Callithrix jacchus: one gene and its partner. The main gene of each other region encodes a partner of the protein of the gene in region 2 in a complex. Links are inferred from orthologs where the notes say so. Each region holds a gene or a part of one and is shown on either strand. Other genes may lie near its edges. The genes, in order: S100A1 and CAPZA2.

Region 1 (4,535 bases), on a different chromosome or scaffold from region 2:
TCTTGTTACCCAGGCTGGAGTGCAATGGCGCAATCTCGGCTCACTGCAACCTCCGCTCAGGCAATTCTCCTGCCTCAGCCTCCTGAGTAGCTGGGATTATAGTCATGTGCCACCATGCCCAGCTAATTTTTTTGTATTTTTAGTAGATACGGGGTTTCGCCATGTTGACCAGGATGGTCTCGATCTCTTGACCTCGTGATTCACCTGCCTCGGCCTCCCAAAGTGCTGGGATTACAGGCGTGAGTCACCGCGCCCGGCTATTTTTGTATTTTCAGTAGAGATGGGGTTTCACCACGTTGGCCAGGCTAGTCTTGAACTCCTGACCTCAGGTGATCCACCCGCCTCGGCCTCCCAAAGTGCTGGGATTACAGGTGTGAGCCACCTCACCCGGCCATACTGTGAGTCTTATTATTGACGAATCTATGCAGGGCCTAACACGTAACAGGTGATCAATAAACCAGGGCATTTTGACTTGACCCTGGAGGAGTAGAGGAGCCTGGAAAAAACCAGGAGAGAAGCCTGGCAAAGGAAAGAAGGAGGTTGGGCTGAGCTGGTAGTGGGGTGGGGAGACAGCAGGGGGGTGCCCACCCCGTTCCCACACCCCTTCACCCAGTCCACGTCCACTCCACCACTCTGTGCTCACATCCAGGAAGCCCGAGAGCTCCGTCTGCAGCAGCTCTTTCAGCTCCTTCTTGCTCAGCTTGTACTTGTCCCCCTCTTTGCCCGAGTGGGCGTGGAACACGTTGATGAGGGTCTCCATCGCCGTCTCCAGCTCAGAGCCCATTGCGGCAGTGCACCTACCCAACCCCATCAAGGAAAGGAGCTGAGGACCAGGCCCCGAGTACCTGGGGTCTAGGTGAGGGGAGCCCTCGGGCCTGGCCCTGGCTGACAGCTCAAATAGCTGTGGGATTAGAGCCCTACTGCAATTGATCTTTCCCTGAGATTTTACAATGTGAGGGAAACCCCAGCAGACCTAAATGCAGACCTGTTCTTCCTGTCCCTCAGTCTGTACTCCAGCCAGAAGGAATCAGGGTTGGGGCATGGAGAGAGCAGTTGGAGCTGGGCTGGCTCCAGAGGCCTGTGGTAGATGTCTGCGGTGGCTGCCCAGGCAGGGATTGAGGAGGGTGGGGCAGGCAGGGGTGGTCACAGGACTGGGCCATGCTTTCTCTGGCTCTATTTTTACCTTGGACCTTGCCTGCCTAGCATAGCTGAGCCCTGCTGTTGAGGGTGGTGGGCTGGGGTGTCCACTACAGCCTTGCCTCTGCTGCCCACCCCTAGCAAAGGTGTCAGTCTGATGCCCCCGGTCAGCCTGGCAGATGGGGTGGCAGCCCCAGTGGGTGGTCTAAGGCTTCTGGAGGAGGGAAGTCTCGCTGGCTCTGAGATTCTTGTCAGCAGCTGGGGCCCCTTTTGGTCCTTCAACTCTGTTCCCTCCTGAACGTGTCATTCTGACTTCTCTGAGGTATGCTTCTATAACCTCTGCAAAATTATCCTTTCCGTCTAGTGGGTGGTGGGAGGGGAGAGAGGAATGTCTGAGCCTTTTCCCTGGAGCCAGGGTTCCCAGGGATGGGGAGAGGAGACCTGCAGGCATTGTCCCTGTGATTGCCCTGGTTGATTCAGGGACAGTGAGAGCAGGGGGAGTGGGGCTGGTATGTGATGGGGGAGATAAAGGGCTGAGAGCATGTGGTCCTTTGAGTTCGAGGGGCCAGGAGAGAGTAGAAGAAAGGAGGGGTCTGTTGAGAGAGGAGACTGCCAAACCAGGGGGCCTCTTTCCCTTGGCCCTGGGACAGTCTGGCCCCCCACAGCCCCATGGGGGCAGCTCAGATGTCTGGGATCAGATGTCCCCATCCTTCCCCAGGCCTAGGGGGCTAGACAATGGGCCCTGATCGAATGACATCCCAGTTCTTCAATGGGGCCCTTGTAAGTGTCATCTGAGCTCCGGACCTGAGAAGTGGTTGTCACAGAGACATGAGGGAGATGGAACCCAAGCCATAGCTGATGAGGGGATAAAGGCTGCTCGAGGGAGGGATGCTGGAGGCTTGATTACCCGCTCCATGCCAGAGGGGCAGCTGGAGGTCGCGTGGAGCCCTAGAGCAGCCTGGGATTTTATGTGGGGCCAGTTCTGAGAGGACTTGGGGGTGGGGCAGATGGGAAAACAAAGAGGAAAGAATTGGGGGAAAGAGGAGTCAAGAGCTCTGGGCCAAAAAGGGGAGAAGGAGAAAGGGGAGGCCCTGAGGAGGCAGTGTTGGGAATGGGCACAGCACCCTCCATCCCCTTCCCCATATCATGGGAGGCTCGCCCTGCCACCCCAGACTCCAAGGGACCTGAGCTCTTGGCAAGGCAGGCAGGAGGGGTGGCAGAGACTAAGGCAGGCAGGAGGGGTGGGGGCAGAAACAGCTGTTGCATCTGCTCTCTTTTCACCCACAGGAAGTGAGGCAGGAGAGTGCAGGGGGCCCTCCCCAACACCTGGGAGACAGAAGGGGGCTTGGCAGGGACTTGAGGGCTCCCTGGGGAGGGCCAGGTGGCCAGGAAGCTCAGGGTGGGTTTCCCACTGGCCTCCTCCTTTGCTGAGCTGCCAGCTCTCTCTGACCTTTGGTTCATTTGCCTCTCCTCACCACCTTCCAGACCCTGTCTCCCCCAGATCCCAAACTGCCCTCACCCTGACTGACTCCTGCCAGATCGTCAGTGCTCCACAGCGCTATGGTCCCCAGCTCTTCAGAGCCCTTCTGAAGACCCCTCTCCCCAAACCTGGCCGGCCAGGACCAGCCCAGTAGGGCAGGGTACTCACGGTCAGCCTGGGCCTGAGGTGGGAGCAGGTTCTGGACAGACGGCCGAGGCTTCAAATGTGGCTGTTGGAGCTGTGTGTGGAGACCTGTCTTCAGCCGTCCCTCCCCCGCTGACCCCCCGCCACCGACTCCACCCCTTCACAGGCAGACACCCTGTGGGGCAAAGGGCCAGGAGCTGACAGAGGCGCCCTCTGTCTCCTGGGCTGGAACAGGCGGCCCTTGTCTCTTTCCAGCCTTGCTTGGCCCGTTCCTTTCTCTCTGGGCAGCAGCGGATGGTGCAGGGGAAGAGGTGGGAAGGAGATCCTGGGAAGGAACTGGACCTCTCACCCCAAGCTGGGCCCTGCAGCACCTGCGGCTGGCTGTGCTGGTTGAGCCGGGGAAGGGGGGAATTCTGCTGAGGGGGTCTTAGTCTGTGGCTCCTCCATGCAACCTCACTGAGAGGACCCTCAATGAGTAACTTAGTCTTGGGAGTCTGAGACCCCACAGAGGGATTTCAATCCCAGACTCTTGGGGGTCTCAACTTGGATCCCTCTCTGTGTGTGGGGCCTCAGCCTGGGGTTCTCTGAGGGATCTTGGTCTGTAGCATCCTTTGTGGGTCTCATTTTTTTTTGAGACTGAGTCTTACTCTGTCACCCAGGCTGGAGTGCAATGGCGCAATCTAGGCTCACTGCAACCTCTGCCTCCTGGGTTCCAATGGTTCTTCTGCCTCAACCTCCTGAGTAGCTGACATTACAGGCATACACCACCACACCCGGCCAATTTTTGTATTTTTAGTAGAGGCAGGGTTTCATCATGTTGGTCAGGCTGATCTGGAACTCCTGACTTCAGATGATCCCCTCGCCTCCGCCTCCCAAAGTGCTGGGATTACAGGCGTGAGCCACTGCGCCCTGCCTGTGGGGGGGGTCTAATTTTTTTTTGAGATGGAGTTTCGCTCTTGTTACCCAGGCTGGAGTGTGATGGCCCGATCTCGGCTCACCGTAACCTCCGCCTCCTGGGTTCAGGCAATTCTCCTGCCTCAGCCTCCCAGCTGGGATTACAGGCACACACCACCATGCCCAGCTAGGGGCCAACGTTTGTATCTCAGATTGGGCCTCCCAATGTTGAGCTCCCTCAGTTGGTTGCCTCCCCCTTCCCCCACTCAGCATACACACTCCTGATTAGATGTGGGGTGTGGTGGCAGCAGCCCCCAATATTGAGAGGAGTGGGACCCTGGGACCCCTGCTGAACATTTGTCCAGGCAGCTCCTCTCCTTGACCAAGTGGGGGCGCTCGTGTGGCTGGCAGGGAGCCCGGGTCCAGGCCTGACGGTTCAGGCGAGAGGCGCGATTGGGCGGTCTCTGGTCTTCAGGATCGACCATAGAAATCTGACACCTCCGGGCTTGGAAGCTGCTGCTCTCTACTCTTTCCCCCCTCCTCGCCGCTTATAAACCTCAGCCCTGAGGCTCCAGCTCGCTGCACCCCATCTCCTTGCACGGTTAGTCTCTTGACGGACCCTGGAGGGAGCCTGGAGATCATTTTTAATTCCTGGGCTCACAGGTCCCTCCCCCAGAGCCAGCTCAGGCAGAAATTCAGGAAGCAGCTTTGGGTGATCGAGCAACAGTGCGTGCAGGAGTGCGTGGGGGGTGGACGGCAACAGTGCGTGCAGGAGTGCGTGGGGGGTGGACGGCAACAGTGCGTGCAGGAGTGCGTGGGGGGTGGACGGCAACAGTGCGTGCAGGAGTGCGTGGGGGGTGGACGGCAACAGTGCGTGCAG
Region 2 (4,345 bases):
GCAATTCTCCTGCCTCTGCCTCCCGAGTAGCTGGGATTACAGGCACGCGCCACCACGCCCAGCTAATTTTTTATATTTTTAGTAGAGACGGGGTTTCACCATGTTGACCAGGATGGTATCGATCTCTTGACCTCGTGATCCACCCGCCTCGGCCTCCCAAAGTGCTGGGATTACAGGCTTGAGCCACCGCGCCCGGCCTACTAAAAGCTTTTGAACTTCACTCTACTCATCTGTGAAATGGTAGTAGGACAACTACCTCTTAAAACAAATTAAGTAATGAATGTATCTAACTCAGCCAAGCATATATAAAGTATAGTACTAGATACATCTTAACAGCTTCCCTTTCTTAGATTTGCAATCTAGAATGGAAATTTCGAAAACTTAAAACTTATTATTTTTTAGAGATGAGGTCTCACTATGTTGCCCAACTGGTTTACAACTTCTAGGCTCAAGCAATTCTCCGCATTTGGCATCCAGAGTAGCTGGCATTACAGGTGCAAACCACTGTGTCCAGCTTGAGAACTTATTTTTGAAAATTACCAAAAAGACGGTAGAAAGAGAAATATTAATATATCACTTTCAAGTCCTCTCTGTTTCTGATCCCATACTGGACACATCCTCCACCCCAAAATGAAAAATACCTTTAGATATCTAAAGTGACAAGAACGTTAAAATTTCACTTAACTGGTTACTTGCATTTACCCCAAAAGTTCTGTCAGTTTTTTAATTAGTAAATATAGTGATGAAATTTATATGTATAATATCTACAGAATATTCTTACAAAACACCAAAAATCAAATTAGAATTTTCACTAATTTACCCATAAAACATTTTGCTAGTAGGCGGCGCAAGCTTGAAGACACACAACCTCCTCACTCCTCCTCATGAAGCTTAGTGCCCTGAGACTGCTGGATAATAAGGAATTTTGTAAACCCATTTTTTAAAAGCTTTTTAATTTTAGGCCTTTACAACACATGGCAGGTCTATATTAACTCCCACACAGTATTCTCTCTTCAGCTAAATTTCTAGCCACTTGAGCAACTACTAATTACGACTTAAGAATGGTAAAATAAAAACGTGACAATCTCTTTTTAAACTTTTTAGCACAACTCAATTTTAAATATGTGTTTGTGCACTCCAGTGCATTTTCGGACAGCTACTTTGGGTTATTTACCAAGACTGTAGACGTGAATACTGCACAGCAACTTTTCTGGATACAGGGATCTGCCTACTGGGGGTTATGGAGATGTTGCTCACCCCCATTTTGTTGCTGTATTATCACTTTCACCAAAGAGCACAAGAGGAAAAAATATTTCCAAAATAAAGATGAGATTGACTTCTGCCCATTCACATCGGGAATGGGACGGAACCTTCTCTTTCAGTGCAAGAATACAGTATATAAAAACATCTAGAGCAGAGGGTCCAAATTGAAAATATCCTCAAACTTACGTGAGGATCTGTTAACCACCACAACGTACCTAAAGGTACTTGTATTTTCCTGCATTGGCTATACAGCTTTGGAACTTAAAAATGAAGCACACTTTAACGAAGAGTTAAAGAGCATTTCCAACCCTGCAACTAACTCATTCGTGTCTGTCAGTTACTTCGGGAGTACTTCTAAGTTTGAGAAACCTCAGGTTCCTTTCCGAGAAACTGTCAAAATTAGCAGAGTTCTCCCCTACCCCACTACCCTCGGGAACCGGACGTTCGCAAAAGCCAAAGGAAAGGAGAGTGTAAAAGAGCAACAGTTCAATGAATTATTCGATTTCTCGTTTTAAATATCTGAGAACTTATGTCGTTCACCTGGTTCCAGTGTTGTCACAGCATCTAACATACAGTAAAAGGACTTGCACAATTTCCCCTCTTCGGAAGAAGTCCTAGCAGGAAGGTAAGGTGCCATCAAATCGCCCCCCGGGGGGGCTGCTGCCAACGTGGATAGAAAACAACTATGGGGAGGGGGTCGTCTTTTTGTGAGCAACTCCACTGCCTCTTGAGGAACATGGGAGCTGCAAAGCCTAAAGCTAGAGCCACGAAGTGAGAGGGCGGGCGGGCGGGAGAGAGACAGGCCTCCATGGGGAAAGGAAAAAAAAAAGCATAAAACGTAGAGAATCAGAAAAGGAAGCATTTTGCTTTGGGGAGGGGGAAGTAGAAGGGAGAACTGAAGGTCTGCTTCCTAAGCAATTTTTCCCTTCCCCTCACCCGCCGCTACACTCACAGGCCAGGCTGCCGCTCTGGGCACTGCCCTTGGGCCGCTCCCAAGCCGGGACGCAGACCCCTTTGCGCCCCCGGTCCCCGGTCCCCGGCCCCCGGCCCCCAGCTCCCGGCGCAGGCCCCGCGGCCGGGTAACAGGAGAGGGTCCCGGGCGGCCGCCGCCCTCCCCGGCGCCCGCGCCCCCGCCCCCGCCCGCCGCCGCCTGGCTCCCCTTTCCTATTTTCGGAGCACACACCCTACAAGGAGCGGAGTGAGTAGGCCTGGCTGAGACCTGCCCCCGCGCGGGGCCTCGGGTGACGGACGGGGGCAGGCACTGGGCGCAGTGAGGAAGGGGGGAGGAAGGGCAGCCGAGGGCACCGCCCGCTGCGGGCCAATGCTTCCCCAGCGACCCGACTCCGGGCGCACAAGCCAGGGCTGAGCCGGCTCCTGAAGGCCCGCGCCGCCGCCCCCGCGGCTCTTACCTTCTCTTCATCAGACAACTGCTCCTCCAGATCCGCCATCTTCCTTCTAGCGACAAACCGCGGCGGCGGCGGCGGCGGCGGCGGCCACCTGACTTCCCCTTTTCCGTGCGGTCCTCCGCGCCGCGCACCCCCGCTAAGGGAGGGGCCCGCCGCTCAGGCCGCCGCGCACGCGCCCCGGGAGCCCCGCCTCCCTCGACCGGCCCTCAGAGCCTGAGCGCGGCTGTGCGCGTGCGCGTGCGCGGGCGCCTGGTGGCCCGGCGGGGGACGGTGTCTCCCAGGGCCACCTGCATAGGTTTGCTAGCTTTCTCTCCCCACCAGTGACCATATGGGCTCAGTCTGCGATGAGTACATTCTGAGCCCTTCGTTATGTTTCCATCAAGTCCTGAACTCTGCTAGCTAAAATGTGAAAAGGTGTGCAATAGAAGCTTTTTAAACATTGGTTTTTCAAATATTAGAAAAAATAGTCGGCTTTCATTAAAATACACACACCCAACCCGCTCCATAATTGAAAGATTGCTCTTGATATATTTCTTATTTATCCAACAAATATTTTTTGGTCCTTCAACGGGGTGTGGGGCACTGTGTTAGTCTCCGGGGTTACAGTGTTGAGGTTCCCCCAAAGCAAGCTAGACATGCATGTTCATAGCAGCACAATTCGCAATTGCAGAGATGGAACCAACCTAAGTGTCTATCAACCAACGAGGGGATAGAGAAAATGTGGTATATATACACCATGGAATACTACTCAGCCATAAAAAAGAAGGAAATAATATTTTTTGCAGCAACTTGAAAGGAGCTGGAAGCCATTATTCTAAGTGAAGTAACTCAGTAATAGGAAACCAAATATCCTATGTTCTCACTTAAAAGGGTGAGCTAAGTTCTGGGGGTGCAAAGGCATAAAATGGACTTTGGGGATTGGGGAGGGGATAAATGACTACATACCGGGAACAGGGTACACTGCTCAGGTGATGGCTGCACTAAAATCTCAGAAATCACCACTAAAGGGCTTATCCATGTAACCAAAAATCCACCTGTACTCCAAAACTATTTATTTCAATAAGACAAACTTCTGTTCTAGGAAGCTCACCTACTACTCTAAACAAACATACATTGAACAGCTGGGGCTGGGTGTAGTGGCTCAGGCCTGTAATCCCAGCACTTTGGGAGGCCTCGGTGGGAGGATCACCTGAGGTCAGGAGTTCGGGACCGGACTGGCCAACATGGAGAAAGTTCTCTCTACTAAAAATACAAAAATTAGCCAAGCCATGGTGGCACATGCCTGTAGTACCAGCTACTTGGGAGGCTGAGGCAAGAGAATTGCTTGAACCCTGGAGGGGGAGGTTGCAGTGAGCCGAGATCGAGTCATTGCACTCCAGCCTGGGCGACAGAGCAAGACTCAAAAACAAAAAAAACCAAAAGCCAAACAACAAAATAGTTGGGGAAGGCATTGGACTATTCCAGGGGAGTACAAAGTCATGTTAGTCATGGATCCTACCCTCTTGAATAGGGTTGCCATATTAAATATAGGACACTTACTCAAATGTGAATTGCAGATAAGCAATTTTTTTTTCTTTTTGACACAGAGTCTCTCTTTGTCACCTAGGCTGGATTGCAGTGGTGCGACCTCTGCCTCCCAGGTTCAAGCAATTCTGCAACCTCTGCTTCCCAGGTTC

The links.
Region 1: the proteins of CAPZA2 (region 2) and S100A1 are in contact, whole or in part, in an NMR structure (PDB 2KBM), measured with the Rattus norvegicus proteins. The link is inferred for Callithrix jacchus from reciprocal best matches to the Homo sapiens genes CAPZA2 and S100A1. Residues at the interface, in NP_001009180.1 of Rattus norvegicus: Thr267, Lys268, Ile269, Asp270, Trp271, Asn272, Lys273, Ile274, Leu275, Ser276; in NP_001007637.1 of Rattus norvegicus: Ser44, Phe45, Leu46, Asp47, Lys50, Asp51, Ala54, Lys57, Ile58, Glu61, Leu78, Ala81, Leu82, Thr83, Ala85, Cys86.

What each region holds. Positions count from the first base shown.
Region 1 is NC_133519.1:14,044,715-14,049,249, reverse strand, and holds the start of S100A1 (protein S100-A1), read right to left. Parts: upstream 2,845-4,535; 5' UTR 2,657-2,844; intron 1,460-2,656; exon of another isoform or gene 1,205-1,459; intron 798-1,204; 5' UTR 785-797; coding exon 644-784; intron 1-643. UniProt on the Homo sapiens protein: Small calcium binding protein that plays important roles in several biological processes such as Ca(2+) homeostasis, chondrocyte biology and cardiomyocyte regulation.
Region 2 is NC_133512.1:87,439,692-87,444,036, reverse strand, and holds the start of CAPZA2 (F-actin-capping protein subunit alpha-2), read right to left. Parts: upstream 2,824-4,345; 5' UTR 2,712-2,823; coding exon 2,673-2,711; intron 1-2,672. UniProt on the Homo sapiens protein: F-actin-capping proteins bind in a Ca(2+)-independent manner to the fast growing ends of actin filaments (barbed end) thereby blocking the exchange of subunits at these ends.